Linked DNA regions of Mytilus edulis. The protein of the gene in region 3 interacts with the protein of the main gene of each other region in a biochemical or structural test. Links are inferred from orthologs where the notes say so. Each region holds a gene or a part of one and is shown on either strand. Other genes may lie near its edges.

Region 1 (11,845 bases), on a different chromosome or scaffold from region 3:
TTTTATTAGACTAATAATGGTTTATATATATATATAAGGCTAAAGCAGTTACATTTATTTCATGTTTGAAGCGGTGCAAATTTTTGATTTAATTTGACTTTTACAAAAAGATGCATTGTAGCAAAGGAGAAGAATAATTGTGGTCTGAGGCCAGAAACATGAAAATAATTGAATTTAACAGAAAGGAAACAAATATCGGACTTTGGAAAAAGGGAGAAGGCTTTTGATACCTTTTATGAAATTCCTCATACCTAATATCTTTTACAAAAAATAATCCTACAACAGTTCACAAGCTGTATATGCCCGATTTCGTGGGTGTGTTCTGGTATGATTGAATACTCAACAAAATTTATTTACATTCCAACTACAATTAAGATTAACTTAACTACTTTATACAAAAAAAATTATGTACATGTATAAAGCAGTGAGTCTTGACTCAATCAGTCTTAATTGCAGTTCGAAAATTTTTAAAATATAACATGATTTAGTTTATAATGCATTTTGTCTAAATTGCAAATGCCTGGGTCTGTTTATCTTCACAAGCCAAGGGTTAAAATCCAGTCCCCTTCTCCCCATTCATCATGTTCATGGTGGATTAAGATAGAATTTCAGAGACACAATATAAAAAAGAAGATGTGGTATGATTTCGAATGAGACAACTGTCCACAAGAGACCAAAATGACACAGACATTAACAACTATAGGTCACTGTAAGGCCTTCAACAATGAGCAAAGCCCATACCGCATAGTCAGCTATAAAAGGCCCTGATAAGACAATGTAAAACAATTCAAATGATGTATTGATTTCTATCATTGTTGTCTATTGGTCGCAGTTCAGTCAGTTGTAACCAGCTGTATCATGCAAATCAAAAGGCATCCTTAAGATGACCATGTAAAAATGAGAAAATATAAATAAGTAATTGCCACATGTAAAGAATAATGGTATTTGGTGACCATTTTAATGTTCTTGCTGCCATTGGTAAAGAATGATGATGTTGGAATGTGCATGACTTTTATCTTCTGATATATGGCGCAGCATATAATCAACAAGAATGTGTCCATAGTACACCGATGCCCCACTCGCACTATCATTTTACATGTTCAGTGGACCGTGAAATTGGGATCAATACTTTAATTTGGCATTAAAATTAGAAAGATCATATCATAGAGAACATGTGTACTAAGTTTCAAGTTGATTGGACTTCAACTTCATCAAAAACTACCTTGACCAAAAACTTTAACCTGAAGAGGGACGAATGGACAAACGAAGGGATGGACGAAAAGAGGCACAGACCAGAAAGCATAATGCCCCTCTACTTTCGCAGTTGGGGCATAAAAATGTTGGCTTTATCTGCCAAGGGTATAGAGAAGGGGACTAATCATAACCCTTGGCTAGCAAAGATGGGGACTTTACGTTTGAATGTAGAAGGTATTGTAAGTCCCATGAGGGCAAATCATTTGTAATCAGTGTTCTAGCTACAAAGTTTGAACAGGGCACAGCGCCTGCTGTTCTTTATTGATGCCCTTGCCTTTTTTCTGTCGTTTCCCCTACAACATGCTGTTTTTATGGCAAAAATCTCGGCATTTTTGCCTTTTAAATACTGGCAAATTCGTAATTCTTTCATGAACAGGAAGTTCAGCTAGCTGTGTCCAATTAAGTGACCCATTAAGTGCATGGCTTCACTTAACAGCTTTGGTGTCAAATACATTGTTAACAAGAAGTAATTGTAACAGGATGCTGTTATGAAGTCTCCCAAACAAAGCTCCCAAAAAACACCATTCATATGGTCCCATGTTCATTTGATTTGATTTTTTATCCCATACAAGAATATATATGGCTTACGGGTGGAGATCTCCACCATTTACAAGTATTCAAACAGGAGGGGGTGGTGGTGACCCTCAGGGACTTTACCTACATTACATTTGATTTGTTTTATTGTCCCATACCGTTTACAAGTTTTCAAACAAGAGGGGGTGGGGTGAGCCCCTAGGGACTTCCCTTTTATTTCATTTCATTTGTTTTATTGTCCCCTACAAGAATATATATGGTTTAGGGTGGGGATCTGGACCGTATACAAGATTATAGCACATTCTCAAATTGAACAGGGTGGGGATGACCCCTGGGGACTTCCCTTTAATTTCTTTTGATTTCTTTTGATTTGTTTTATTGTACCATTCAAGAATATACATGTATATGGTTTAGGGGTGGGGATATGGACCGTTTACAAGATAAAATAAAATTGAGAATGGAAATGGGGAATGTGTCAAAGAGACAACAACCCGACCAAATAAAAAACAACAGCAAAGGGTCACCAACAGGTCTCATGAGGGCAAAAGCATATTCTCAAATTGAACGGGGTGGGGATGACCCCCAAGGGACTCCCTCTATATTTCATGTGATTGGTTTTATTGTCCTTTAATCATTTCTGAAGACTGCATGTATCTATCACTTACAGTTTTCAAGTTATATTCATTTGAAAATTTTGGAAAATAAAATCCAATAGGGTTCTATAGTAAACCCCTCCCTCCTTTCTACCCCCCAAAATACCCCTTAATAGATCCCAATGAACAAACGAAAGATTGAAGGCTCACCTAGACATATTAGTCTACCATTCTATGAAATCCTAAGTCAATCTGACAAGTGATTTGGGAGAAACGCTGCGGACAAGTTCATTTTTTAAAGTGGCGGAAGAGGAAGAAGAGGAGGAAGAAGAAGAAGAATAAAAATAATAAGAACTGAGCAAAAACAATAAGTCTCCAAACTTTGTTTGGGAGACTTAATTAAACCAAGTACATTTACCTTAGTTTTAGGTCATACATAATTTGTATAGTTCAAAAACGTTTGACAAAAAAATTGTTACTTCCCCTTTTTTATCACCTTTCACAATATTCTTCTCAAATTCATGAAGTTTATATTCTTTTTCGAAATTATTTTTTAATTTATAACCAATTAAGCATGCTAAGTGCTAATGCATATCAGAACATTATTTTTAAATATGTTTTAAACCTTTAAACATTTATGTAATAAATCATTTTAAAAACAATTTTTTAAATCTTTACTTCCATTAAATGATTTATCAAGTGCATTGAAGTAATAATTTGAATACAAATATTATAAAGAGATTTTACTTTTGAAACCTGCAGTGAACACTGATTCAGCCAATTTCAGGGTAAGAAACAGTCAACTTAAATCAGGTGTAAATGAAAGTGTACATATAATGATCATATCATACAGAGAGGATTTTGTCTAAAGTATTGAATATTTTTACTCTAATTTAATTGAAACTTGATTATACCAAAGTGTCTGAGTTATATGAGGCTTAATTATTTGCCCTTTTTCAATGACATTTATGCATAAAATTTCCCCTTTTCTGACTAGCACCCTGCCCTTTTCAAATCCTGGCTTTTCCCCCTTTTTGCCCGTAATTCCTCAACAGCCAAAGCCAATTCTTACCATCTCTTTGTGGTATAATTTCAGAGAGATCGACAATGATCCATACAACATTCCACAAGTTGTTATCTGGAAACTAGAAAAATGCTTATTTGGGCCCCTCTTTGGCTCCTAATACCTAAACTGGTGGGACTATACATTGTATAACCTCCCAAAAAATCAATCCTAACCTTCCTTTTGTAATCATAAACCTTGTGTATAATTTTCATAAATTTCTATTTACTTATAATACTTAAGTAAATCGACCTGATTCCAATATATACAAAAATGATATACGACCACACAATTTTTTTAGGTTGATTATAAATATTGACTTTTACCTCCAAAGCTAACCAAACCTTTAAACAGATTTATTTTAGAAGGGATATACATGTAGTTACAATAGAAGGGATATACCTGTAGTTGGGTCATTAAAGTTGGCATATTTTGGTATTAATATTGATTAACAAGGAAATAAACACAAATGTTCTTCTTGTATCTTTTATGATGGTACGATAATAAAACCCTATAGCTTACAGGAGGGCTCGTGCTTGATTTTCATTTGATGTAGTCCTTTGTTGATTTATGTATCATTATCATTTTTTTTAGTTTCTTTTGTATCCTATTCTGACGCAGGACTCAAGACTTTTTTTTGTAATCTGAGTTTTAATGTGTGTATTGTAGAGTGTTTGTTTATTCTAAATTGGCTAGAGGTACATGTATAGGGGAGGTTTGAGATTTCACAAAACATATCTAACCCAACACATTTTTTTGCCTCTCCCAAGTCAAGAGCCTCAGGCCTTTGCTAGTCTAGCGTGTTTTTAATTTTAGTTCATTTATATGTTTTGGGGTTAAGCATGTTATAATGTGTAATGTCCATTTTCAATGAACTAGAGGGAGTTGTTTTCATACATCTTTGCTATTTGTCCACCATTACTGGATATCACACAGGTTACCGTAAAATTTGGACATTCTTATACGAAATATTTGACGTCACAATGAACAGTGATTGTTGTATTACATCAATAGTTCAAGCGGACACATTATAATTTGTGTCAGCTGGGAAAACGATAAGGTGTATTATCAGGTCAAGACAACTGGCACAGATTTTGAAATACAGAAAAGGTGTAATTAATCATGAAGCATCTCATTTGTTTCTTTATGTAGAGTCTCTAGGCATTCGTGGTGATGGCTGTGGATTCTATGGATATTTTGACTGAAATATAAACGTTCTACTTTCTGACCTTTCAAAACATTGGACTTTGACACTGCTTTTTTCCGTGATTATTAAACATAACAGACTTAGATTTTTGAAAACGTTTGAAGGACATATATTTTATACCTGTTCTTTCGTTTCAAACCAATTTTTTTATACAAAAAGTAAGAAGCTACTGCAGCTACGGTTAAGATCGCCGACCTCTGCGGCGTGAGCTTGCTGAGCGCTGCCATATTTCACAAGATAAACTTCCGGTAATAAAGTTAAAGATAGATGTCAACTCGGACCAAAGCTAACTGGGACCAATACCTTTCGGACCAGCTTTGAGACACCCAAGGACAAGAAGAATAACTTAGCAACAAGAAGCGTCAAGAAGACTATTTATAGCGACAAGAAATTAAAATAAAATCTTATTAAAATTACTTTATTCAAAATGAATAAATTAAAAAAATATGTATTAAATGTTGTTTTTATATATATATATATATATAGGGGCAATAGTAAAGTGATAGGTCTATAGCAAGATTTTTTTTATATTGATACAAGAAATTAAACATTTGTCTTCGTGTTTTGATTGTCTTCAAACGATATTAAACTATGCATAGGCATAATCGTTTGAGGAGGCAATACACAAAATGAAATGATATGCAACTGAATATTCAGTTTGATTACGTTTTCTTCTTGTTTGATTTCATTGTATTTCACAAATTATGTCTGTATTTTCTGGGCAATGATGCACAAATAATGCATTTTGAATGCAGTCAGCCTATTATATATCAAACAAAGAAAGTGTTGAAAGAATCATAAGATGAATACATGTATATAATTGTTCTGGTTCTAAAACTCAAGTAAAAATTAATATCATAATACAACCGGATTTAAAGAACGTAATATTTGATTATCATAGATAAATACAGTTAGGTTTCAAAAATGTGTGATGATTTTTGTTGCTAACTGATATTATTCTTTTCGCTTCTTGTCGCCAAAATTCTTCTTGTCGCTAATTGATGAAACCGAGTACGAGTAGGCAATTTAGACAAATGTTTAATAAAGACTAGGCTGATCGAAAAAAATACTACTCGGACCTATAAAAAAAGTAAGTAAACAAATTCAATTCTTTAATTACACTCACACAATATATGTGTTACATAAGGACAAATTACAAGTCAAATACAATAAATGACAGAATAGATAGGTAACTAATAATAAAAGTGTACTTTCTAAAGATCATAAAACTTGTAAGATACATGCATCTTTCTAAATGAAGGTAGATAGCTTCTTGATAAATATAGCTAGATTATACAATAACTGACAGTGACACTATGACAGCATATTTTGCATTTTCAGTACAGATGGGTATATATGTTGTATCATATTTCGGTATGTATTTCCGAAGTTTAGTCAGTCAGCCAGTCAGAGTCGATTTTTTCTTCCCTCGTCGGGATTCGAACTCATGCTGCTGAGATATCGTGACACCAAATCGCCTGCAGCGCTAGACTACTCGACCCCCTTGGCTTCATAATATTAAAACTTTCGATGGCCGGGTGTTACCTTTCCTCGTCAGTTTTTATCTAGCGTCGTAATACAGTACATGATATATAAGGCATGAAGATGGAAGGGTTACAGATCAGATGAAATATCTATTGTAAAGGATCCTACATATTAATGCAAGATACAGTCACAGAAATAATTATAAGTACGTCTGAACAAGTGACAACTCTACAACAGATTTATCCATCGGATCACCAGCAGTGATGGTGATACATGGCTGTGTACATTGCGTATATACAACTCGTCTAAACATCAGTTCAACAATGTTAGATCTGTAAGTTTGCTATCGCAAATTTTTTGTTCTTCCCTCGCCGGGATTCGAACTCATGCTACTAAGATATCGTGACACCAAATCGCCTGCACTGTACCCGACGCGCTAGACCACTTGACCACATTGGCCTCACAATAATAAAGCTTTCGGTGGCCGGGTGTGACCTTTCCTCGTCAGTTTTTATCTAGCGTCGTAATACAGTACATGATATTTTAGGCATGAAGATGGAATTGTTACAGATCAGCTGAAATATCTATTGTAAAGGATCCTACAAATTAATGCAAGATACAGCCACAAAAATAATTATAATTATAAATTAAGTACGTCTGAACCAGTGACAACTCTACAACAGATTTATCAATCGGATCGCCGGCAGTGATGGTGATACAAGTTAACATGGCTGGGTATATTCTGTATATATATATATAACTCGTCTAAACATCAGCCCAACAATGTTAGATCTGTAAATTTGCTTTCGCAAATTTCTTGTTCTTCTCTCGCCAGAATTCGAACTTATGCTACTGTGATATCGTGACACCAAATCGTCTGCACTGTATCCGACGCGCTAGACCACTGGGCCACCAATCTTCAATATGAAATCAAACAGACATAGAAAAAAAATTCATTGAAAAGGTGTTCAATATATATTTACATCTAAATTTATTTTTATACCGGGTTATAAGACTGTTGACAGTCTTCGGAGGTCACCTCGATGGTTAACTAGATGGTGTCCAGACTAAAATATAAACTGCGAAATGCTGAAACATATTACCGACTACATGCATAGTTAATTATTTAATTTTTCAAGTTTATATACATAATTTGGATTTATATTTTAGTATGTTATAAATCAAATATGAAATCTTTAGTCAAATTGGTGAATTTGAATGCTTATGTCCCTTAAAGAAAAGAACTGGTAACAAAATATTGACTGGACAGCTGACTCAGTCTGGTTAATTCATACCTCAACACAAACAAAATCTTTATACTGGTGATTAAAACACAGACACTTGTCAGAGAGATTTATTTTCTGAGACGAGTTCCTGTTAATTAAAACCAGCAATATGGATTCTGCTTAAAACATAAAAAAAATGCATGCATAATAGAAATATAGCTGCGAAAACGCAGCTCTATTGTCCTTTGATTTTTTGTTTGTTTATGGTTCTCAAATATAAAAAATCATCAAAAGGACCTTAAGATCTACATTTTCGCAGCTAAATATAAATAATAATAAAGGGGAAAAGCTCTTTAGTCAATAATAGTGAATCTCTTTCTTAAGAATTTTTTTTTTAAAGTTAAGGAATTATATAAATGATTTCTGTGTCTTCGTTGTTTATAAGCCAAATTAATTGGTTTTCATCAAAAAGTTTACTAAAATTACTATTATTATTATTTGAATGATCAAAATATGGTTAAGCATGTGCATTGAATTTAGAATTGGATTTCATCTTTAACAGACAATTTACATAAATGACATTTACGATATCTTCACTTCTCAATGTTGAGGTTGTGTGAGCTTACTTCAAATTAAGTTAACAGTCTTCTTCCATTTTCATTACCACAACTTCAATATTTTTCCAATTCGATTTTTTTGTAAAACTTACAATATGTTAATAACTGGTTCCCAACTTTTAAATGTTTAAAACAAATGTTAAATTCCTCATGGTGACGAGATTTAGACTGTATGACCCATTTTTTGGCTGGTTGTAGTAAATATCCCTCTCGACCTCTGAAGTCAATTAAAGGTCATATTAATCAAGAACTGTGTGTCATACGCATGTTGCTTAGTATGGCTATATCTTCTGTCCAAGTTGGAGCAAAACATGAAAATTATCTAATTTTCCCTCCATATATCAGTTAATGTCTAAAAGTGTATGTATATGAAATTGACGCAAGATTACACTAAGTGTTAACCTCGTCTTACGCCTTGCTCTATTCTAAAAGTGTCTGATATTTGAATATTTCATTGTACACAAGAAACAGCATTATTATATAAATTATTAATTATCAAAACAGATTGTTTTAAAATTTTCAGTTGATATTATCTTCTTATTAGCTCTGTATGTTTTGCTGCATCACATGCCGACTTTGCTTCAGCATCAGAATACATATTGATCAATATTATTTATGAAATTCTTCTGTATAATGAAAGAAGTTTAATTGTGCTGTTCTTCTAGTAAACCAAGTTGTCATGGATTTTGATATTTTATAATGTCAGATTTAATTCTGATCTTTAAAACTGCTTCAATGAGTTTAGATAATGTTGGAGTAATTATAATTACAGAGTAATGTCTACGATCTTTACAGCTTCACCTTTTTTTTAAAGATGAGTTACTATCCCTGACTTATGTCAATTTGGTATATAGTAAAGTATAAATGTAATATTCCAAAGTTAGAATCGTAAACATCATTGACAGACATTATGGAACTACCTAATGAACTGAGAGCCTTATTGGTAACAATGAAGTTGGATGGAAAAGAGACGGAATCACCGGGAAATTCACCGCCAATTCTGACCAAGTATCGGTCCAGCTCACTTGCATCAAGCTAGGTCAAAGAACCAGATACTACATCTAGGAAACATGAGCCGGCCCTGTAAAGCAGGAACAAGCCACCATCTACCAGGAGACACCACGCTAACCGTTACGCCCAGTGGATGGCTAACAAAACAGCCGTTGTACCTGCTACTCAAAATCAACAAACCACCAGCGTATACCACATCACGCAAACCGAGGCAAGAGACACCGTACTTGGTCAAGTACTTACACCAACAAAGTACAAAGGGGAACCAGTTGGGGTTGTAGTCAATAAGGATATTGTCACCAGTCCTTACAACCCCAAAAAGACCTGCCATCGCCTGGTATTCTACAGATAAGATAAGATAAGATAAATTTTATTTTCCAAATTAGGTCCCCAGGGGGGCATATACACATAACATATATGATTGATACAACATACACCTCAAAAAATGAAAGAGGCAAGCGCAGTTGGATCGACTTTGATAAAGGGTTTGACATCAACGACCCAGACCTACTGCGCACACCACCACACACATCGCCCGTCAACATTGAATCGATTTCCAGACAGGATAGCCGGACATAAAACATCCACATATCATCATATTCCAAAGTTCTATAAGATAGCAAAGAAGACTTGGTACACTATATTATAAATTTCAGTTGAAAAATCTGGTACAAAAATAACTTCTTTTACTTCATTTTGAGTGATACGTTAGCGCTGAAACATAGCTGTGCAAATATCATGTATATCAATATAAATAAGTTTGGTGTATAAACTGTCTTCTGATTGGTTAAAAGTATTACTTTTATTTGCAATGTTGTCAATGTTTATGGTGACACACCCACTCTGACGTTGTGTATTCATACGCCAACATGTGTGAACGTACGTTGTTATTGGTTTTTTTTATCAAAAGTATTCCCTTCGTTGTTCTTTAATTCAAATATATCATAAACATATATCTAAGGATTTCAATTTAAAAATGAACATGCAACAAAGAAATGAAAATTATTTTCTTCTGTTTTACAAAAATATATTTATTATCCTCAGAAATCTGTTCAAATGTTGTTGGTTTTTTTTTTACAAAAGTAGTGCGAAGGAACCCAGAGCGAACATGCTTAACCATGATATGTTCCAATTCAACATGCAACTAATTTTCAGAAAGGTGGATTTCAACCGCCGGAACATCCCCTACCCCTGGATCTGCCACTGATTCGTATATATTGCTACGAAACCTAAGAACAGCTTGGCGAGCCTCACTTTTTTCTTTGTTTTTAATGCTCGTCAAACTTTCAACACTGTACGAATTGTGCAGATTTAATCTAAAATTAGTCCACGAACTTTTTTTGTTTTCTTCATTTGTCACTTTCTTGTGAAACGTCTCTTGAAAACTTCCAAAATCCAATCTGCCCGAGCAAATACCCTTCAAAATTATTGACTTTCCAATTCCTCTTTAAATCTTTATCTTTATGTGCTTGTTCGTATATTGTGAACAATTTGTGGAGAAATCCGGATGACTTTTTTTTTAGGTAGGGCGTTAACCAACGGTGTAGCATTATCTACCTGTACGCAGGTTCATTCTTTACAGTGACATATACATAAAAGACAAGACAAGAAAGGACAAGACATTATTATTCAAGTCTCACCTCTTCAGATACTCTCAAAAGAGTTTTAAAAGAGACTATCTTATTATTAATTATTATCTAAAATGTATATACATTATGTACACTTGAATTAGCAATATAAAATATATCTTCTTTTCATTGCAGAATATGGCAGTATAAAAGTACGTATAAAAATATGAATTTACCGTCATCAGACATATGCATAAAATTAACATTACATAGAGATTCTTGATAAAACAAATATAACTATTACAATGAAAGTCTTCACACACTGGACAATTCATTTATGCATGTTTTTCGTATTTAGTAAAATATCATTCATAACAAGTGTTTTAAAAACAAATTTTATTTTTAATTTAAAGACCATCAAGCAAGTCTCAATTTTCGTAAGAACAAAATAACAACCTGTATAAAGTACGTAGTTTACTACTCGTTTGACATTAAATTATGTATGCGTCTCATTTCCATTTTTATTTTATTTTAATGAAAGTGGAAAATGTGACCACTGCGTGACCGTAATTCTGTCAATTTCTTATTATATAGGATATAAAGAAAAGAAATATTTGACCACGATCGTACCAAAAAGTAAAACACTAAGATTACCGAACTCCAAGGAAAATTCAAATCTGAAAGTCCGTTTTCAAATGGCAAGATTAAAAGCACAAACACAACAAACTAATAAAAACATCTGTCATATTTCTGATGTGGAACAGGCATTTCCTTATGTAGAAAATGACGGATTAAACCTGGTTTTAAAGCTTGCCAAATTTATCTCTCGCTTGCATGACAATCACATAAAATTCCATTATATTGACAACAATGTGAGAACAAAACAAACAGGCTGTACTGTGCTAGAATTATATTTTGTTAGAAACACGATAATCATTAGGCTGTTCGATAGTCATTGAAAATAAATTATGTTTGATTTGCAGTTTCCGTGACTTTTCTATTTATCATTTGGTTTATCATTTGGTTTACCATGAAAATTATTTTTGTGATTTTATAATTACCAGATCTCATTCATTTGAATTTAACGTGTTAATAAGATGAGCCGAGTGACATCTAGCTGTAAAATAATGCGTAAGAAAACAACTTCCACAAAATATAATTTAATATTGACTTTCAATGGAAATCATACGTTGTCTATTTCTTCTTCGCTGTCAATGTATTTGAGTGACAGTTCTGTTTTCGACACACTGAGATACAGCTGTATATCTTCAGGTGCCTCCTCTATCT
Region 2 (11,577 bases), on a different chromosome or scaffold from region 3:
CCTCCAGTCATGCTTCAGTGATTCCCTATATAATCAACCATTTTTTTCCCACAAAAGGGGGGGAGGCTGGCCTCCTGAAAATCCTAAATCCCCCTCTGGCTTTCTAATGAGGTGTGTTCATGTATGGCCAGATATTGAATGGGCTGCTAACAGCTTTATACATGTACAACATCTATGATCAAAGTTAGCTGTTATAGAATTACTGTTCAGTGTACAGAAAAGAAGAGATATGGATGTGTTTTCTTTAAAAAGCTTCCCAATTATTTTCTGCATATAAAGGACTTCATTATCTGGCCATACCTGTACAAACCTCAATAGCAAGATAAACTCTAGACATTCTCAATAAATTTATACAAAGTAACACAGTGTACAATCACTACAATGCTGCACAGAAATTATAATATGGTTCTGTCTTTACTAGTAGTGAAGAAAAGAAAAAAATTCAATTGACTGAAAAAGGCTGCTATCAATATTTACATATAAACATACATAAACAACAAAGTGATAGGTACCCTCATGTAAATGGTTATAAAAGGTCATCAGCAATATATAAGCTCAATATTTCTGTCGTATTGTGATATGCTGGTATTTCTATTTTTTATTAAGTTGTCCTGTTTCTGATTCAACTATATCAAAAGCATATCAAACACCCACGTAAATACATTTAAATTCTCCCTCGCCCTGCTCATCCGAATATAAAGTATTTTATCTCTTAAATTCAATAGGCTATAAACAAAACAAACACAGATATAGGATTAGTTGCTCACAGTAACATATCATTTTCTCTTGCGATACAATATTTTATTTTACTTTCTTCTACATATTTCTTCGTTTCAAACCACAGACATATAAATCCATGACATATAATATTGTTTCTCATTTGCATCTTTTCTTTTTCCTCGGTTAATACCTCCAACGCCTGTATGTATGTAATAAACATAGCAGCAACTGTCAATTTACCAATGTGACCAACTTCAATTCAACGCAACTGCAAGCACCTTCGATAATATTACATTTAAATGCCAAACTTTATATAGTACCATTAAATCCCACCCGTAGAAACCGCCAAAACTTTCCTCGTGCATTATACACCCCACATCAAACTCTATAAATAGTACATACTGTTGCAGAACTAGTTATACTAGTTCACATCTATAAATAATTACCACTAATAGCAAACGGGAAAACACCAATTTCAAACGAAATAAAATATATATATTAACATACAAAATGAAAGTATAAATTTGGTGAGATTGGAGTGTAAAAAATAGAACTTTTGAATTAATATTTTCTTGTACCTAGTATTGTAAGAAATGATTAACAGTAATCCAATGATATCATGTAAAAAAAATACTGTGCCATCTTTCTGCTTAACAAAAAGCAGTTGCAAGTACAAAAATATATAACAATCTTAATAAAACACAGATCACTTCTCCTATTTTCATCTCCTATTGTTCAATCTATTTAAACTTTGGTTAGTTATATTGTACCATTCAATAAATACAATAACTATTGTTCTGTGTAGTTTATTCACTGGGACCTTTGAAATTCTAAGAGAAATCCATCATTCTTTATCAAATTTACTTGAGTAAAAGAAATATCTGTTAAATTAATACATGTTTTAATTAAAACAAATGCATGTGATGTTGTATTTTGAAAATGGTAAAATTCATCATTTAAGGGCAATTACTCCTATAAGAACAGTCTGACATTTTTGATGTAAAATAACAATAGGTAGCTACAATGTATATATAGAGCTTCAAATTTTGAGTAGTTTTGCAATGTCAGATTTTCTTTTATAATAGCAGATTTCAAAATACATGTAATAGGCAAAACTTGCAAGTTTGATCAAATTTGGTCTTTGAGTTTCAGAGGAGATTTTTTTTTATAAAAGTTAACAGAGGACGATGGATGCCAAGTGATTGGAAAAGCTTACTTGTCCTTTTAGGCCAGGTGAGCTTAAAATGTTATAATCTTCCTTGGTACAAAAATTTGGAAGTCAATCCTTTCATTTCTAACCATATGCTCTGCAGGGCGCAGCTTTATGCGACCTCAGAGGTCGAACTCTGAACGGTTGGGGCTAGTATGGACACAACATTGAAGCTGGATACAGCTCTGAATTTGGATTGTGATTAAATAGTTGACACAGCATAGGTTTCTGACACAGAATGAATGTGGGCTAATGAACTTAATTTTTTTTGGTGCTTTTGAGCAATTCACTATGCTGTTGAATATTAATCCTCTCAACAACAAAAAATTTGAAGAAATTTTCTTTTTAATTTCTGAAATCTGAACTGAGACAAATTGACCCCCCCCCCCCCAAATTTTTTGTCACCTCCCCCTTTCCATTCAAATTTCTAATGGAGTTTGCAACAACAATAACTACTCATTTAAATACATCATAAAATATCAAAATATAAAATGTCATTCAGTCATGGTTAAAATTAAAGTCATAAGAAACGAGTGACTGGTGAAAAATAATGTTCATCCAATTCTTGAACCAATGCATGTATAAATCATAAACTTAGTTCTCTGTGCACGAATTTATCATTTTTTACGCAAATATATCGTATAATCTGTCTGTTATGATTTAACAAATATGGCTACTCATTAAATGCCGTGTTTTGAAGCCGAAGTTTACCGATTGTCACCTTATAGTAAATAATCAACAAAAAGCATGGGTATTTAGCACGTGTTTAACATATACAATCAGGTAATTGTTAATTTTAATGACGGATTCATGCGTATTGCTATCACCGGATTTTTACGAGGAGGGTCAAGCTTAGGTCACTATGCATACGGAAAATATGTCGGCGAATTGCTTCCTGCCCTGGCAGCAAGCAATTACAAATATGTAAACTTCTTCTAAATGTGGACAAATTAAAGAATTTTCCTCAGAAAAAAGTATATGTACATAAGTTGTATAATGAAAACTATCCATTTAGTTTTAAAAAACATATGCATATTTTTTTTTAATTTGAGGTTTCATATGACTTTAATATTAATCAATAGTAACTTCTTAAAAAAATAAATGGGGAATGTGTCCAAATGGACACAGATGATGCCCCTGCTAGCATATACATGTTTGTAATGTTATAAAGGGAAATAACTCAAGAACTGTAAAAGTGAAACTGCCAAAAATTGAACTTAAACTGAGTTTAGAGGTAATAAGCATTAGATACCCATTTTATTAAATTTAGTTGAGACAAACTTAAGTTAAGAGAACAGAAACTAAATAATTCTTCAATTTTTCCATTTGTAAAGGGGCATAACCCTAGAATGGTAATCAAAGTGCTTGTAATCACTGCTTTAATTTATCAGTTGGTAGTAAAGTGAATAATGCATTGTATATTGTATATAGCAACTACTATTCTGAACAAAGAAAGATAACTCCAATTTTCAAAGAAGATTTCATAAAGCATTACATTTTAGTTTTAGGTGATTCAACAACCATTCTGGACAAAGAAAGACAACTCCAATTTATAGTCTTGAAACTAAAAAAATGCTTGTTTTTTCTTACGACTGTTTTCCCCATAACCCACAAAATATATCCCAACCTTCTATGTATGGTATTAAACATTGTGGTACAATTTCACATTGTGGTACAATTTCAGAACAATTGAAATACTTATACACAACTGTTTGTACTGACAATAGATAAATGCTTGTTTTAGGCCCCTTTGGGTCCCTAATTCCTTAACCTTAGGGACCATAACCCCCAAAATCAATCCCAAGCTACCTTTTGTGGTTATAAACATTGTGTTAAAATTTTACTGATTTCTATTAGCGTATACTAGTTATTAACCGGAAACCATTCGTTTTCGAACGACGCTGACGACTATGACGTGATACCAATATACGTCTGCAAAAATTTTCGGTCGTATAAAAAAGTTGATTGTAATTTCATGTTGGTCAAAACAATAGTAAGGGTAAATTCAATGTCAGTCTGGTCAAGTTTACTTACTCTTAAAATCATTTATTTAGTTTAATTTTCTTTTCTTATACATGTATTCATTATAAATAAAATGTTATTATAACCCTTGGTACCAAATCTGCAGTAACCCTTCCAAAAATGGAGACATTTTAGCATTTTTCATATTTGACAGGACAATCGTTAGGCCAAAACTAAAAAGTTTCACAGGTTGGGGATGGTCCTCATAAATGGGCACTATTACTAGTTATGGTTATTATATCCAAAATCAGGTATCGATCTTTATGCAGTGATAAAAAATTTTTTTTTTAATATTTTATCATAATGATGATCATGGTGCAAACATTCTTATAAATTCCATCATTAAAATTGGGATATAATGTACAGTACAACCTGTGTTATCCGACACACTGAGGGACCAGAAAATAATGTCTGATTAAGCAGGGTGTCGGAATACTCAGGTTTTTTCTACAATGATAGGCATATTATGGGACCATGAAAATGTGTCGATTAAAGCAGGATGTTGGAATACTCAGGTGTTGGATAAGGCAGGTTACATTTTATATGTTTTGAGGTATAATACCAATAAATGTCTAGAAAGGCTATTATATTTGACTTAAAGCTGTTAGGCTCTAAATTAAGACATCATAAATATATTTGGACTAGATTAAACCCAGAACTCGTTAATTATTCCTGCCTCTTCTGTCGCTGTGCCTACATAGGTTAACCTACATGTTCATGTCCAAGAACAAAATTGAAGTTCCTTTTTTTTTTAATAATTATTCAGTTTATTGCACAATTGGTTGTTTACAAACCCCTAAAAGGTACAACTATCTCAAATAGGTTTATCCCTGTGTGTGAATTATCAAATGAACCAGGGGATTCACAAGATAAACTTGAAGTTCCTACCTTGTTGCTGAAGGCCTAGGAATATATCATCAAAGTAACAAATTAATGAGAATGGAATCTTCCACAACCCACAGATTGTATATAGTCTATACAAGAGGGTAGTTATTCCCTTTACCGTCAGGGGTTGAATTGATTAAAATATTAACCTGATTCGTCAGAGGTTTATTTTACCAGCATTTTTGGAAACGTGATGCGTTAAAATCAGTAGATTTTTTTATCGTCTAAAAGAAAGTGTACATTTTATCATCATGAACCAAAAATTACCGTTAACTTCATTTGGCAAGAATTTTTACCATTATTCATTATGAAGGTATCTACATTACAACCCTAATTTCTGGCCTAAACAAATCCTTGGTCTTGCACAACACTCAACAGAAGGGCGGAGGCTGAGTAATTCTAAATTGTAATTTTTAAGTTTTAAAGGAAAAACAATAATGGGATCATAAACATCACAATGTCAGAATATTTAACATGTTAAATGTATAGAAGAAGAAGATGATATACGAAAATGTTTGTGACTCGATTGATAGATAAGAGTTGTTTTTCGGTCAAAATGTAGGATGCAAGATTGTACAACAAATGTTTGAAATAACAGTTAGACATGGACTTACCCTGACATATTATTTAAAGGAATACTTCCAGCATTTTGTTGATTTACACCTGCAATTTCCCAGGGTTTAGGAGGTGCTGCCATTCCCCCATGGGTTGAAACGGGTGGTTGAGATGATAATTTTGGGACTGTGAAATGTAAAAATAAGTCAATGACGGATATGAAGTGAAACAAATCCGGAAAATAAAACGATCTAAATACCAGAAAATATATATATATTATGCCAATTTTTTTTTCGATTCAGACAAATACGTTCAAATTAATTTATTTTACTTTAAGAGTCCCTATAATTAAGAGTTAGGGTTCATTCTTCAATCTTGGTTATGGTTAGGATAGCTGGTTAGGGAATGTTCTAGGCACAGGCACTTGTCTCAGAAATTGTTTTCCCTATAGAAGAAAAAGAAGAAGATGCTTTATTTCAATAAAATGGGCTCACAAGGAGCATAATATAATATCATTGTAATATAATATTCTTTTACAAATATAATAAACAACACATAGTTACAAACACAAATAAGAAACAACAGTTTTCGCATATTAGTATATATATAAAACCTTTGTGTCAGGCACACCTCTTGAAAGTAACTCTGTGAGTAGCCTATATACCTTGTTATATAGAGGTATATAGGGAAAACAAATTTCCTGTGGTTCTGGCAAGGAATTGTGTAAATATACAATTCCTTGTTCTAGGTTAGTGTTAGATTTTAGAGTTAGATGTGTATTAGTTTTAGGTATGGGTTAGGTACGACGTAACATAAAAGATTGCACTAAACCGATTAAAGCAGTAACATATTCAACAATAGTAAGACCTTCAGTTGAATATGCTTGCACGGTATGAGACCCTACAAAACAGGCTAAAGTAAAAACAATCGAACAAGTACAGAAAGAGCAGCCAGATTCGTAAACAACAACTACACAGACCGCACACCTGGCTGTGTAACAAAAACGGTAACATCTTTAAAATGGAAAATTAAGCTTTGAAGACCGCAGGAAACAAAATAGAATATGTATGCTGTTTAAAATTCCACATGATCTAATAGACATAGATCGGCACCAATATCTGACGCCAAACGATAGCCGGACCAGAGGTAAAAACCGCTTCTTTCAAGAAAGGGCTACAACATACTCCTTGGACCAATCCTTTCTCAGGCCTAGGACCATCAGAGACACTTGAACCAACTGCCAACATCAGCGACATCAGATGACACAGTTGAAGGAATCAGAGCTGCCCTAAAGGCATGCTCTGCTTAAATAACACAGTAATATCCTGTACATAATTTTAATTGTGTATATATGTTACAGTGAATTTGTATAATCAGGGGTTATGTAGAATCCTTAAAATTTTCAGGGATTATGAATAATCACTGGTTAGTTTAGGGATTATATATAATCACTAAAACTTTCAGGGATTATGTATAATCACTAGAAAAAACGTCAGGGATTATACAGAATAACTGAAATGATATAATGATGGAAAATTGTATGTTGGAAAAGGAAAATAAAATAAAGTAAACTTAGAGAAATAAACTAATAAATAAATAAAATGGAATTTTATTGCATTGCTTAAGCTCTAAGACAAAGTAGGTGACGTAAGGTTAAGTTATAAATAGTTTCGTCTTTTTGTAAATAATATAGTTAATCTCATTTCTAGAGTTCTTTTGATCATAGCTATTAATCTGACGTTGAGAAATAAGTTAAATAAACTGTCATCTTTTAAAAGAATAAAAATGTTTGTAATTTGCCGTAGGAAAATAAACCTAAAGTGTTTCTATTGTCCAATTAATAATTCTGTAAAGTAAGCAAAGATTTTGATAATTTTGATAATCCTTTAATTGCTTTTACGTAACTAAATACAACATATGTCAATCATATAAATCTATAACATAAAAAGAGAACAGTTGACCAATAAAACGTACCTTTAGAAAATTCAAAATTGACGCTAAAATTTCATAGGTGAATAAAATATACTGAACGACTTTAGAAACGCAACACTCATTTTGTTGATTTTTTTACCAAATCTTGTTTGATTCTCTTATTACTTCTTTTCGTGCTTATCATACTTCTTTCTCATTACAAAAAATGAAAATCTGACTTAACTGTGGTTCTTGAACTGCAAACATGAAAACATAAACGTGCTGCAACCATTCTGTATGACTTCAGAAACTCCTCTTACTGTCCTTCCGACAACGATACAAGTAGACAAGATTTGTTGCTGGCCATCAATGAACAGACCAACGAGTAGTGACAATGAAACATCAACCGAAGTTGATTTCGCAACGTCATTTGCCAGACATGTTTACGGCCGCAACGTCAAATGCTATTCAAATTGCCGAGTGACATTGAGTACAGATTCATGCCATAAATGTTTCCCATCAACTGAATTGCCAAAGAATCGACTGAAGAAAACCTTTAAAGCCATCAAGTTCCAACCGCATAACAGCCAAAACCAATAAATGGGTTGAACAAATGCAAAATCAGAAGGTGTAAATCAGTACCCAAAACATGTCAGACAGAATTTGTTGACCTTTCTGACAATCATTTTGGCGTTTGTAACAGGCAGTCATCGCTTTTGACGGTGACACATTCATTAAAAAATAACACAAAATTAATCTAGTGTTGCGTTTCTAAAGTCGGTCAGTATAATTCCAATCAGCACGTGATGTTGGGGTTAAAAAGGGAAGACCGCAACCTCCCAACATCACAATATCACACTTAAATGTAGATAACTGTTTGGAATAAATAATTGAAACATCATTGTATTTTATTCACCAGGTATGTAAATTGTTAAAGTATAAACCATTTTCAAATGAATTTTAAAGTAAGAATTTATCTTCTGATTTAATAACTTTGATATTTAAAACTTAACTTAAATTTATAAAAGATTTTCATTAATATATATAAGTTAAAACTAAGTTTACTATTTAAATCACAGATCACAATATCACACTTAAATGTAGATAACTGTTTGGAATAAATAATTGCTGAAACATCATTGTATTTTATTCACCAGCGCCAGGCCTCGAAAGTACAAGTGTCCGAGATGAGGGACACGCCAGAAGAAGGCATAACATAGACCTGAATATGAGCGAGCTAGTATTCCCCAGATTCTCCGAAAGAAGTTAGAATACCCGTATAAGCGAGCGAGGATAGTCCCCAAGTGAAAGATGGCAGTCCCTCGATTTTAATATACTTAACGTTGTGGAGGGAAAGGGGAGACAACCTGACAGAACAGCGATTCTTCCCACTTTTCCTGCATTACAATGATACTAAAATATATAACATATTGAAATATCTTAAAAGTTTACCTTAATATATCATAATAATAACCTTACTATTGTTAAACGTTAGGCATAATTTATTAATATGAAAGACACAAAAATATTGAAATGTTATACACAAAATAATCAAATGATAAGCACAATATATATATATATAATTGAATGATGAGCAAAATATATATGGAATAATTGACGACTTTATTAGTAATAATAATATCAAGCGAGCCCACACGGGCAGGTTGATGAAGTCAGTATGAAAATATTAAATTGCATAATGATTATTCTTTTTATCGTATTGTTTTAGCAATTGTTTTTAGGTTGAGAATATGAAATAATTTAAAATGAAACTGTCATTAAAACTATTTTTATGCGTACAGTTGTTTTAATAAATGTTAATGTTATGTATAATATTTTAATATTAAACATTTTATTTACAAACTAAATTTGAATGGCATCGACTATTACACATTTGCCCTGATTCTCTTCAGGCATATCTATCAAATTCACATCTGTTTTTACTACGATATCAACATTAAAAAAAAACCTTGTCCCCCAAATCAAATGATATTTTACGGCACTTCTCAGAGAAAAAGTGTTTTCAGCACAAACATCTGAAGGTACATATTGTACCAATGAAGGGTAATCAGCAACCTCAAACTGATTTCTTGTATTAAGGATCCGAGCAGGATTCCATGCTATATAGCAAGGCGATATCCTTCTTCAGCCTTTTCGTGAATATTGACCATTAGTTTTTTGGGATCTCCCTTTCCTGGAACCAAGGATTTGTATAGTAAGACTATATAAATCCTTGCTGGAACCACTAGTGTAATTGGTTTGAGATATCATCTTTGAAGCTTTTGATTATTGAGAATCCCTGAAATCATATTAGGGAATTTGTAGAATACTAATTAAAATTATCAGTGATTATCTAAAATCACTGGTCATTTTCAGGGAATCTATATAATCACTAATGTTTTTAGTGATTCTATATAATCCCTGAAAAATCAGGGATTCTACATAATCCCTGATTATACAAATTCACTGTAACATATATAGAGAGAACGTTTTAACCTGTAAATAGCCAAGAGAAAACTTTCTGTGTTGTCGACATTGCGTATAGTTTTCGCGGTACCTCATACATTCAAATATTGAATTCGGTTCCTTACCTGGAAGAAGAAGGGTAATGACATATATTTACGGTTATGTTAGCCTAAAAAATGTTTATTTTGGGAAGTGATCATTTTTTAATATCTAAACAAAGTTTTGGCTGTGAAAATTATGTCTGAGAATCTCTTTGGTTATGAACTTCGATTTTAGAAGCGCTTACACCTGCTCATTACTTGAAATTGAATTTGGTCGATTTTTCAAATATTCCACCAAATGAAATTTTAAGAATTTGCAAATACTTCTCTGGCTGTGTTGAAGATGAAATTCATTTTGTAACTTCATTATACCGGTATGTCCCTTAAAATAAAGTATGTCCTTCGACTTGTTCTTGTTCTATAATACAATATTGTATGATTTGACAGCACAAGTACAAAATAATAAAAAAAAAACTGTCGATAATATAATAAATGGTCAATATGCATAGATTAAAATACGGTGTAAAAACACATTTTACTATCTACATCTACAATTCCATGGGGGACTCCATTAACCACAGGAACTTTCTCCGATGATTCTCCATCACCGATGACTTGTTGGGTACGTTTAGATAGGATACACTTGTGTAATTGTGTAATTGTCCATACAATGCTGTAGTTTGTTTAGCAGGCATATGTGTGGCTGTGGGACACGATCAAAGACCTTAGAAAAATCAAGGATAACCATACCTTCTCTGTCTAGAGCTGGTGCAAGCTCATGACAAAGCTGGATGAGTTAATTGAGTTTCACAACTTCATCTTGCTTTGAAACCATGCCAAGAAAAATATACATATGGTAAAAATAGAAATCCACAAAATAAAGGAAGATTTCAAACTTTCAAAACAACATTCAAAAACATCAGACAGATATGTTGAGTCTTTGTCATAGGCATTTAAAACAGACATAGTTTAAGATGCATGATTTTCTTTTAATTTGTTGTTAGTGGCTTTGAACTAGCTGTCAGTAACTGAGAATGCTCTCAGATCTGTACTTACTGTCTTTTTGTTGTTGTAGTATTTGTATTTGTATCCATCTGATGAGTATAAATATAAAAAAGGAGTGTGGTATGATTGCCAATGAGACAACTCTCCACAAGAGATCAGAATAACAACAACAGGTCACCGTACGGCCTTCAACATTGAGCAAAGCCCATACCGCATAGTCAGCTTTAAAAGGCCGCCTTTTTAACTGATTTTGTTTAGTTCGTTCTCATGTTGTACTTTTACATAATTAATATACTAGGTACTGTAGGCTTTTTGGAAAATTATTCGGTCTGCATTTGAAAAAATGAGAGAGTTATTGACATATTATGAGAAATGGACATATGAGAAATTATTTTTTTTTAAAAGCCACCGACCTCCCAGAGAGGTGTTTCAATGCTTCTTTAGTGTACAGAGAGCGTAAGATCTTCACCTTACGAGACATTGGTTAACGATGAATAGTATTAGGACTGAAAATTTAAACAAAGCGTTTGAAACTTATAGCTTAAGAGTGAGGGCCAATATAGCATTTATGTACGAAAAGGGTAGCTGAATGGTCTTGTAAACGTACTAACACAGTTAGTTTTCCATGTTTAGTACATATGACCCCCCCCCCCCCCCCCCCCCCCCCCCCCCACACACACACACACATATGCTACACGCATGTGATTATGTTAAAATCCCTCAACCTTAATTACCCCTTTAACAGAAAAGACGTCTACGACT
Region 3 (11,188 bases):
TAATTAGAATTGCTCTTGCATGTGAATAAGACATTGATAAAAAGGTTGGGAACAAAGTCAGAAAACAATATCTCTGAAAGTACTCCATCATTGTAATTTTTTTCATTAAACAAATATCTTACCTGTTGCATTAAATCAATTATTCTTTCAAATCGTAATTTCTTCCTTTCATCTGTTTCAGAGGGCTGTTCTGTTTCAAATTCTACACATATTTCACCAACAATTCTCTGTTGCTGTAAATACTTTTCTAACTGGTCCTTAGCTGTCTTATCTTTGTTTTCATCTAACCAGTGTGGGTACTGAAAAAGTCAACCATTTTTGTCAAATTCATTATTTCAACTTGATGTATGTGGGTGATGATTGAATGCCCCCACCTGTTTCAGTAGCTGTTCAGATTAATTGCCACATTTAGATGTCCTTTGGGGTTTTTTAATGTTTCGATTTGGTATCATTCAATATCTTGGTTTTTTTCATAATTTTACAAAATTATATTTGTTTTCAAACTAAACAGAATGTTTCCAATGTTACATATATAGAATTTACATGAGATACCCTAATTGAACACATCTTGCACAATTTATAAAAAAGTGTATTTACTTTAGCTAAAAAAGAATAATTTTATACCTTCTGTACCATATGAAAATGCAAACACTACTGTTAACCAACTTATTTTCTAGAATAATCCATTTTGCATTTAGTCCTTACTAGCAATTGATGCACAAACTATTTTTGCATTTTTTTTAATTTGTACATGTATTATGCATTTTTTATACATTTTTTTGGTGTTTTAGTTTTTAATTGGCAAAAGTCATGAAAATTAGTTGGTTTTAAGATTGATACCTTTTTTGATAATTCTTTTAATGATGGATATAAGATTTCTTTAGATAACAATGACTTCATCATCCCCTGCATCATTGGCATAAAACCTTCCTGTCCATCTTCCATACCCATACTAGTGAAGGCTTTCATCAAATCATCTTCGGACATTTGACCCTGCAATAGATATACTTATAATTTTAAATTACCTCACTCTAGTCATGACGAAATAGTTCAGAGGAAAATGAAAATAAAGAAATAAAAACCTCCAACACACCTCATTTTTTTCAAAAATCTTTATTATTTTAGTTCTAACGAGTATAAACCAATAAAACCCCTTTCACTTCTGTAATGTATGTTGTACACAAAAGTATCTTCTTCCTAAACTTAATTTATCATAAAAAAAAATAGAACAGTGTAGCTTGGGCTAAAGATTTAATAAAGTTCAACAAAATTAAATTCTCACAAACTAGAAAGAACAGAGTTAAGACATCTGTGTTTTTTTGTCTTTTTTAAGTTATAGGCTGATTTAGACAGTCAATGACAGTAGAAGGCAGATATTGCATTTTAGTATAGATTGCTTTTATTGATAACATTAATAATTGACAAAAAAGGTAGACCTTAAATATTGTGAAGAAGAGGAATATTTGGCCAGCTACTGATTTTTACAGAAAGCAATAGGACAAACCATTTTCCCATATTTTCTTCATTTTACCTATGATTTTTCGGTGTTATCACTTTTATTCTCATGCTACTTAAGAAGTCAATTAGAGTGAGACCATGATAACTTCATAAGCCAAGGTCATTGCCTAAGAAAATAGCAATAAATAGACAATAAACAGACTATCTTTGGTATTTCAACTGGAGGAATTTATCTTTCTTTGATTGTAGCTGAGTAATTCCCTCTCATTTTCAGAACTATAGATAGTCTATAATTAATCAGAGTATTTTCGACATACCTGTAATTCTTCTGAATTCTCGTCAAGACTAGACATAGTTTGTGCCAAATTTTTAGCAAATTCTTGCTGTGCTTCTTGTGAATCACCTAACAAAATTAATAATTTTAACATTGTAAATAATGCATTTATACCTTTTCTTAAAATATAATTTAGTAAAATCAACAAACATTAAATATGGTCCAATGTTATAATAACTATTATAGGGGTCAACAGGGGGATAAAATGAAAACATTCAAAACTAAACTTGAATTCGATTATTTTTTTTTTTTTTTAATTTGTTAGCATCTTAATATGATATTGGAAAACTCAAATCATTAAAATATGTATAAAACATATACAGTCTTTTCATTATCACCTTCCCACCCTCCTTGTTGTCTAAATAATAGACTTGTCACTATAATTTACATAATAAATCAATACCTGCACTGCCAGCAGCAGCTGCTAGTTTTTCTATTTGTGAAACTAATTCAGGATCTTCACCAACCATACTTTTCATGGCCTCTTCAAATTGTTTTGCCATATCGTCTGAGAACTCATCAGCAAACATGTCCGACAAAGGATCCCCTGATGCTTCTGATTTCTGTGATGCCTGAAACACATGATTATTTCAAAATGGTATAAAGATATCAATTTATTGAGCCCATAACTTTTTACTTTTGATTTCTAAAAAACAAAATAGTGTGTGTATTTATCATCATGATCATTTGACCTACATGTATATTATTCATGAAATACAGGCAAGTATTGTATGTCTGTACACTTTCAAATTCATTGACTTTGACATATTATGTAAAGGTATTGTTGTTGGACATACAATGTACAGATATTAATGGTGGGCATACAATGAATAGATATTGATGGGCATACAATGAATAGATATTGATGGTGGGCATACAATGTATAGATATTGATGGCTGGCATTCAATGTACAGATATTGATGGTGGGCATACAATGTACAGATATTGAATGATGGTTGGCATACAATGTACAGATATTGATGGTGGGCATACAATGTATAGATATTGATGGTGGGCATACAATGTACAGATATTGATGGTGGGCATACAATGTACAGATATTGATGGTTGGCATACAATGTACAGATATTGATGGTGGGCATAAAATGTAGATATTGATGGTGGGCATACAATGTACAGATATTGATGGTGGGCATACAATGTACAGATATTGATGGCTGGCATTCAATGCACAGATATTGATTGTGGGTATACAGTGTAGATATTGATGGTGGGCATACAATGTACAGATATTGATGGTGGGCATACAATGTACAGATATTGATGGTGGGTATACAGTGTAGATATTGATGGTGGGCATACAATGTACAGATATTGATGGTGGGTATACAGTGTAGATATTGATGGTGGGCATACAATGTACAGATATTGATGGTGGGCATACAATGCACAAATATTGATGGTGTGCATTCAATGATGCATACGATGGTGGGCATACAATGTCGATTATGATAAGACATAAATTTGCAGCATAGACATGAAAGAGATGTCAGCAAGTCTAAAGAAAACATGCATATCATGTACATTTACTTTACCGGTACATATATACAAATGATATAACATAACAAAAAGCTGTTTTTTAGCTTACCGAATCATTATTCTTGGCACTACTCTGATCCTCTTTTGTTGCTGTTTTCGGCTTTACTTCATCAAAATCTTTCAAAGCACCTAAAAAAAAATTAAAGATTGATTTAAAAATGAATAGGATACACTATTTATAAATAAAATTAATTATTATACAAAAAATATATTTCAACAGAATGCAAACTTGTAGATAACAAAAATTCAAAATGTAGGCTATAACATACATGTATTCTTATACATGTACATTGTATTAATATATGTTGAAGAAAATTAGCATTACTGTATATTTGTTGTTGTAATAATTGAATTCAACTTCAAATGAAAAGGTTGAAAATTCTTTGACATGTATGAAAACAATGCAAAATCCTATTTATGAATAAAAGAATTCTTCAAAAGAAAAAATAATAACTATACTATAACTGTATATAATGTTATCTTTTACAAAACAATTTCAATTATAATAATGTCATACAATGTAATTATCTATATTTTAAATGTAATGTTGTCATAATTATTTTGTACAAATAAGTTATTTGAATGGATAAACCTGTTTCACAGAACAAATGATATTGGAACAGAACTATTGATTTGTACCTGGAACAACCAAGGACAGAACACATATTGGCAAAAACCATTTTCGGAATCGTGCACTTTTTTGTCAATTTCATACATCACAGTAAGAACCCATAATAAATGTTCAATGACTTTGTTAACAACCTTTTACCTTGGGTCTACCTGTTTAACTCATCTATAAAAAACAACTTGAGTTTGGTATAGGAATGGAATGACATCAAATCAATTACTGTTGATTAGTAAATTTAATAACTGTGATAACCATTTTTTGTTGTGTTAAACAAGTTTAATCTTTTGATTAAGGTAATAATAATTATTCTGTTCATTAAAATTACTGGTCCCTTAATGGAGGTTAGGCGTGGTCTTCATAACCAAGCAATAGAGATCATTAAACACCTTCTTTTCAATATACTATAATATATACAAGGGTAGGAATGCCCTTTACCGTCAGACGTTAAACTGTTATTTTAAGCTACCGTTCGAGTCAAATTGGTTAAAATTTCAGTGATTTGTTAAAATCTTCTTATCGTGATTTGAAAAAGGTTTCGAATAATTATCTTTACCATCATTTTAGGACAAAAATTAGCGTGATTTGACAAAATCAGCCGTTATTTTTTTACTGTCTAAAGGAAAGTGTTTTAAATTTTATCATCTTGCGCCAAACATTACTGACAAGAATTTTTACCATTAATCGTCATGAAAGGACCCCTATTACCACCCTCATGCACATGATACAATTAGCAAGGTTAATACACCTTATCGCTTATCCCGGCCGCTTGAACTTTTGACGAATACAACAATCACTTTTCCATTGTGGCGTCAGATATTTTGTTTTATGATGTCAAAATTCCATGGGAACATGTGTGATATCCAGTAATGGCGACAAATAGCGATAAGGTATACAGAATGATCTCCGAGCCTTAAACTATTATCATCATTCCTGATTATTGTTTTAAATATTTAGAGTGATGTTAGCTATAAATGGAATTTACTATGTAGTGTTAACTCTATATTAAATAAAATGTTATCGTTAATAATCATGTGGGGTACACAAATATATCCACCCTCTTGCACCAGTCTTGATTAGCTCAATAAAAATATCTTGTGTATTGGTATAATTTCTGTTAATCGATGACTCATACTGTCTAACAATGAATCTAATTCTTCATCCTGCTTATCGGTTTGTATATTCTGTTTGATTTCTTTCTTTGTATTGGTTAAACTGGTCTCTTCAATAGCTTCTTTCGAATGTTTACTCTCATCACCCTCCATCACGCCTTTTCCCCCTGATGTACTTGTAAAAAATAAATATCCCTTACGTTATCGTAAAAAAATATTTCATTTATTTTCCCCTAAATGTGTTTCTTTCAAAATTCGAGTAATAACCTAATTTCAAATAAGTCTTTATTTTTTTAAACAATAATCTATAAACTCAAAGGAGGAATCGGTCTTGAAATGGACAAAGCTTATAACGACCTTCACCTCTGTTATTTTCCTAAATGTTGAACCATTGAATAATAGCCTGTACCAGGTGACACAATTTAGAACAAACATCACTCGTCACTTTCGTGTCATGTGCGTTGCCACTTACAGTAAAGAGAGATACAGAATATGGAATATATTTCATGACTAAAGATCATAATTGATTAAATGGCTGAATATTTGTCTGAAACAACTTCTTGTTCTGAGAATGAATATTTAAGTGATGGAGCTGAGGATTTGTCATATGGTGACCTAACAGCCATACCAGAATATTTATTCGATCGTTCGAAGTCGATCAGAGCATTATGCCTACACCATAACAATATAGAAGTGTTACCTAAGTCTATAAATGTGTTTGCTAACCTGATCACTTTGGATATAAGTAACAACAACTGTCACAAACTAGATGATGCTGTGGTTTATTTAAAACAATTAAGAACTTTGATAGCCAAGAACAACAACTTAGAATGTAAAACTATACCAAAGGATTTTAGTAAACTACGATCTCTAGAGGTGCTGAACTTTTCTGCCAATTCATTTACAGAGTTACCTCCACAGTTTACTGAACTACCTCGATTGAAAGCATTATACTTAGGTGGCAATGCCATCTCATCAATTACATCGTTGATTAGGCATATGTCTAGGTAAAAACAAATTAACGAGTATACTTTATAGTCATTATAGTACTTTGTGTGCTTTTTTTAACACGTTGAGTTTTAAAGATTGATGTTTAAAGTACAATATTCTGTAATTGAAAGTGTCGATGTGGATCATGAATGAAGCAGACCTGGGGTAAACATGGTAAACAGATTGGGAACAACCCCTCAAATGAGGAATAATTGACCCCTCATTGTAATATGACTATCCGATCCTTTTTATACGACCGCAAAAATTTTTGCGGTCGTATATTGGTATCACGTCCTCGGCGTCGTCCGAAGACGGATGGTTTCCGGATAATAACTTTAGTATACGTAAATAGAAATCAATAAAATTTTAACATAAATGAGTAATGTTTATAACCACTAAAGGAAGTTTGGAATTGATTTTGGGGGTTATGGTCCCAAAGGTTTAGGAATTAGGGGCCCAAAACAAGCATTTATCTAGTGTCAGGACAATAAGTTGTGTACAAGTAGAAGTATTTCAATTGTTCTGAAATTATACCACAATGTTTAATACTGTAAGTAGAAGGTTGGGATATATTTAAAGGGTTACAGGGCAAACAGTCTAGGAATAAAGTGCCAAAAACAAGCATTTTTGTAGTTTCAAGACAATAAATTGGAGTTATCTTTCTTTGTCCAGAATGATTGTTGAATTACCTAAAACCAATGCTTTATGAAATCTTCTTTGAAAATTGGATTTATCTTTCTTTGTCCAGAATAATAGTTGAATCAAATTAAATCAATGCTATATTATACAATATACAATGCAATATTCACTTTTACTACCAACTGATATATTAAAGTAATCTTTACCATTCAGTGATTACAAGCACTTTGATTACCATTCTAGGGTTATGCCCCTTTACAAATGGAAAAATTGAAGATTTTTTTCGTTTCTGTTCTCTTAACATAAGTTTGTCTCAACTAAATTTAATGAAATGTGTATATAATGCTTATTACATGTACCTCTAAACTCAGTTTTAAATAAGTTCAATTTTTGGCAGCTTCACTTTTACAGTTCTTGAGTTATGTCCCTTTATAACATTATATGCTAGCTGGGGCATCATCTGTGTCCCTTTGGACACATTCCCCATTTATTTTTATATAAGTTATTATTAATTAATATTAATTTTAACCATGACTGTATGACATTTTATATTTTAATACTTTATGATGCATTTAAATGAGTAGTTACATGTATTGTTGCAAACTCCATTAGCAAATTTGAATTGAGATCATTTTTGGAGTAAGGGAAAGGGGGAGGTGAAAAAAAATTGGGGGGGGGGGGGTCAATTTTTCATTTCAGATTTCAGAAATTAAAAAGAAAATTTCTTCAAATATTTTTTTTTTAAGAGGAGCATAGTGAATTGCTCAAAAGCAAAAAAAATTAAAAAATTTAAGTTCATTAGACCACCCACATTTATTCTGTGTCAGAAACCTATGCTGTGTCAACTATTTAATCACAATCCAAATTCAGAGCTGTATCCAGCTTGAATGTTGTGTCCATACTTGCCCCAACTGTTCAGGGTTCAACCTCTGCGGTCGTATAAAGCTGTGCCCTGCGGAGCATCTGATTAACGAATGTGACATACCAACATGACCAAATTAGACTATTTACATTGATTATCATTTACCAGATTCGTCCCTCATAATGGCCTCATTTCATGCATTTGGGGGCTTGTTTGAGTTCCTAACATGGTAAACATGGTAAATATATGAAATAACATGACAAAACAATTAGTTATCATTTTAGAAATGTATTAAGGGAATCTTAATTTTTGACAATGGGCCGGGGCAGTCATTAAACAGTGAGAAGAAAATACAAAAAATGAAATAGCAATGCCTTGATTTAGGGTTAAATCGAATAAAAATTACAGAACATGTATATTGAAACTTTCATCTGACTTTGCTATAAAAAGCTGATAAACAGGCACAGCTGATACTATTTTAATGCATCTTTGGACTGACTGGTTCAGAAAATGATATTGATATACACCCTTTATCGTATTTAGCATGTTAAGTAGAAATTTAATTCTATGCTGAAAATATATTGTGTGAATGAGTGTATACACTGTATGTAAGCTAGGATACACATGCAATTGAGTATATATATATTATCAGAGATAAATGAGATAACCTTGTATTAGGAGTACATGTAAAGATACACGTGCAATTGAGTATTATATCTATACATCATGAGATAACCTTGTATTACATGTACATGTATATCTTTTGTAATTACCACCTAACTGTACTTAAAGCAACATACAAGTGTAATCTCATAACAAATTAAACTTGGTCATGTTGGTGGAAGAGAAAACTTTCCATTTTTTCCAGTTTTTTTAACTTATATAACATTTTTCATTCTTTCTAAACAAATTTTTAAGTTTTTTTTCTCAATGACCACAACAGGGGCTCAGGCATGTCAAGAAAACAATCAAATTCAAAAATTTAATGTTCAATAAACAAATCCTAAATTACAACTTACTTATTAAGTTAAACATGTTAAAGGGGACTTACATGTAAGCAGATACTCAAAGTTCAATAATAAAAAACCAATAACCCAAAGACAACAGACACATTATATATATATAATTATGACATGACTCCCATGATCAAAAGAAAAAGTGGAACAGATAAATTTTGTAAGACTACACAAATTATAAAGATTGATAAATACATGCAGTTGATCACCCTAACACATTTTTCCATTGTCATGATTGTCATGCATGATTAGTTACACTTACATGTATCTTGTTGCTTATGTCATGCATGTATGTCATGTATGTATAGATTATTAAGTTGTACATGTTCATTTACATGTAGCTACAGTAATAGTATACTATTATTAGGTATTTTTTTTAAGGGAATTATTTTTGCATAATTTTCATGGTTTAAAAATTATCAGGAAAAATCTTCTTACATGTCTAACTCTTACAAGTATGTAAATTTGAAATCTTTTAAGAACATCAGATTTAGGCACAGGAAAATACAACTGTAAATCTTAATGAGAACAAGGAATTTGGCCTTACAAATTTTGAATTTTAAAAATGGACCACTTTACAATAGTCATGATAGTCTATGACAGTTTTATACAAAGTACCATACAAAAATGGTAATTGGTGGATTGCAAGTTACAATGTAACATGGTTAAAAAAAATATAAGAAGTCTCATTCTGTGTAATTATCAACTAGGAAAGAAGTGCTGTGAATTGTAATTTTAAAAGCAACCCTCACAACAAAATATATGTATGCACTTAAACTATTAAAGCACGTCTACATCAATTTATATTTATGCCCCATTTATGGGCATTATGTTTTCTGGTCTGTGCCTCTGTCTGTCCCACTACAGGTTAAAGATTTTGGTTGAGGTAGTTTTTGATGAAGTCTAATCAACTTGAAACTTAGTAAACATGTTCCCTATAATATTATCTTTCTAATTTTAATGCCAAGTTAGAGATTTTACCCCATTTTCAGTCCACAGAACATAGAAAATGATAGTGCGGATGGGGCATCCGTGTACTTGGGACACATTCTTGTTTAAATATGCATTGTATTTTGTATAATTCTGACATGAAAGTTTTCAATTATGCCTTGCATAACTGAAAGAAAAATGTTTGAACAACCAGTGTATTGTCTGGTATTCAAATTTATTTATTTTTCAGATTAGAAATCCTTTATATGGGTGGAAACAGACTTACAGACATTCCAGCCGAGATAGGACAACTATATAACCTGACATCACTAGTCCTGTGTGATAACCAACTCCAAAGTCTTCCACCTACCTTAGTCAACCTTCATCGTTTGAAGTCCTTGAGTCTTCACAACAACAAATTATCTACCCTTCCTTCAGAAATCGTAGCACTTAATTTAATAGAATTAAGTCTAAGAAACAATCCATTAGTTGTTAAATTCGTTCAAGATTTAACCTATGAAGTGCCTTCTCTGCTAGAACTTTCTGCTAGAGTTGTTAAGATTGAAAAAGTAAAATATGACCAGGAAGATCTGCCAAAAAACCTACTCAATTATCTTGATTCCTGTCGGAGATGTGTTAATCCTGAATGCAAAGGTAAAGAATTTATACAACAAAATTTTATTTAAGGATTTGTTTATAATACTGTAAAGTCAGAAATTATCGTGATGCGTTTAATTAATTTGAGAAATATTGGATGAATATCAAGGAAACAGCAACACAACAATCAAAATGAACATCTATTGGTCAACACACATGTACATTATTCAACGACGAGAAACAAGACGCCATACCATAATACATGTATGACAACATTTAAATCATTTTGAGTCTTAAAATTATTTCTAGGGAGCAACTAACCACAGTTAAACCTTAATAGATCATGTGAAACATATATATACATGTATATATATATACATGTTAATACAAGGAAATGTGTTTACTTAATTTTTTCATATAAATTATTTGATACTTGAACTACATATATTATCATTTACTTGTAAGTTTTAATATTATATATTGTTATCTTTTTACTTTAGGTGTATATTTTGCTTCACGAGTGGAAAATGTGAAATTTGTTGACTTCTGTGGAAAGTACAGACTGCCGTTACTTCAGTATTTGTGCTCACCACAGTGTCGAACCTCGCCATATGTAACGAACAGTGACACGGACACAGATGACGAGGATACAGCTAGAGCCAAGCTCAAGAAAGTATTGTTGGGTTGATGGCCATGATCAAGAGAGTATGACTGGGCTGATGAGATTCTTTGGAGATTTCTTGTTGTGATTCTCAATGCCAAAAGAAGATTTAGCGTATTAACAACGAACCATTGAGGCTATTTGTAAAGAGTGTATTTTGTTTTGAAGTGCACCTAAAACTTTAGGCACTCTATCCTCTAAACCATTTATACACAATGTATCCACATTGATATATTTATTAAAACATTTATTTAAAATATGTGAAGTGCTACATTTTATTATTAGTTGAAAATTAATGATTGAAATAGTCCTCAGAATTATTCTTTATTTATGAGAGACATCTCTCAGCAGTAAAAGACAAGTTATTAGATCACAAGAGATTAGATAAAAGAAACTATTATAA

What was found.
Region 1: the proteins of peroxisomal biogenesis factor 19-like (region 3) and ATP-binding cassette sub-family D member 3-like form a complex in vitro, tested with the Homo sapiens proteins (4 studies listed by BioGRID and IntAct, with this or other methods). The link is inferred for Mytilus edulis from reciprocal best matches to the Homo sapiens genes PEX19 and ABCD3.
Region 2: the proteins of peroxisomal biogenesis factor 19-like (region 3) and peroxisomal membrane protein PEX13-like form a complex in vitro, tested with the Homo sapiens proteins (2 studies listed by BioGRID and IntAct, with this or other methods). The link is inferred for Mytilus edulis from reciprocal best matches to the Homo sapiens genes PEX19 and PEX13.

Annotation. Positions count from the first base shown.
Region 1 is NC_092344.1:125,849,540-125,861,384, reverse strand, and holds the start of ATP-binding cassette sub-family D member 3-like, read right to left. Parts: upstream 4,914-11,845; 5' UTR 4,879-4,913; coding exon 4,772-4,878; intron 1-4,771. Other genes in the region: QRFP-like peptide receptor, read right to left, coding at 11,742-11,845. UniProt on the Homo sapiens protein: Broad substrate specificity ATP-dependent transporter of the ATP-binding cassette (ABC) family that catalyzes the transport of long-chain fatty acids (LCFA)-CoA, dicarboxylic acids-CoA, long-branched-chain fatty acids-CoA and bile acids from the cytosol to the peroxisome lumen for beta-oxydation.
Region 2 is NC_092344.1:115,001,248-115,012,824, forward strand, and holds the start of peroxisomal membrane protein PEX13-like, read right to left. Parts: upstream 5,607-11,577; 5' UTR 5,535-5,606; coding exon 5,452-5,534; intron 1-5,451. UniProt on the Homo sapiens protein: Component of the PEX13-PEX14 docking complex, a translocon channel that specifically mediates the import of peroxisomal cargo proteins bound to PEX5 receptor.
Region 3 is NC_092348.1:72,183,289-72,194,476, forward strand, and holds the start of peroxisomal biogenesis factor 19-like, read right to left. Parts: upstream 5,475-11,188; 5' UTR 5,244-5,474; coding exon 5,114-5,243; intron 3,483-5,113; coding exon 3,403-3,482; intron 2,365-3,402; coding exon 2,196-2,364; intron 1,862-2,195; coding exon 1,776-1,861; intron 994-1,775; coding exon 841-993; intron 300-840; coding exon 123-299; intron 1-122. Other genes in the region: leucine-rich repeat-containing protein 58-like, read left to right, coding at 5,622-6,097, 9,778-10,181, 10,625-10,812. UniProt on the Homo sapiens protein: Necessary for early peroxisomal biogenesis. Acts both as a cytosolic chaperone and as an import receptor for peroxisomal membrane proteins (PMPs).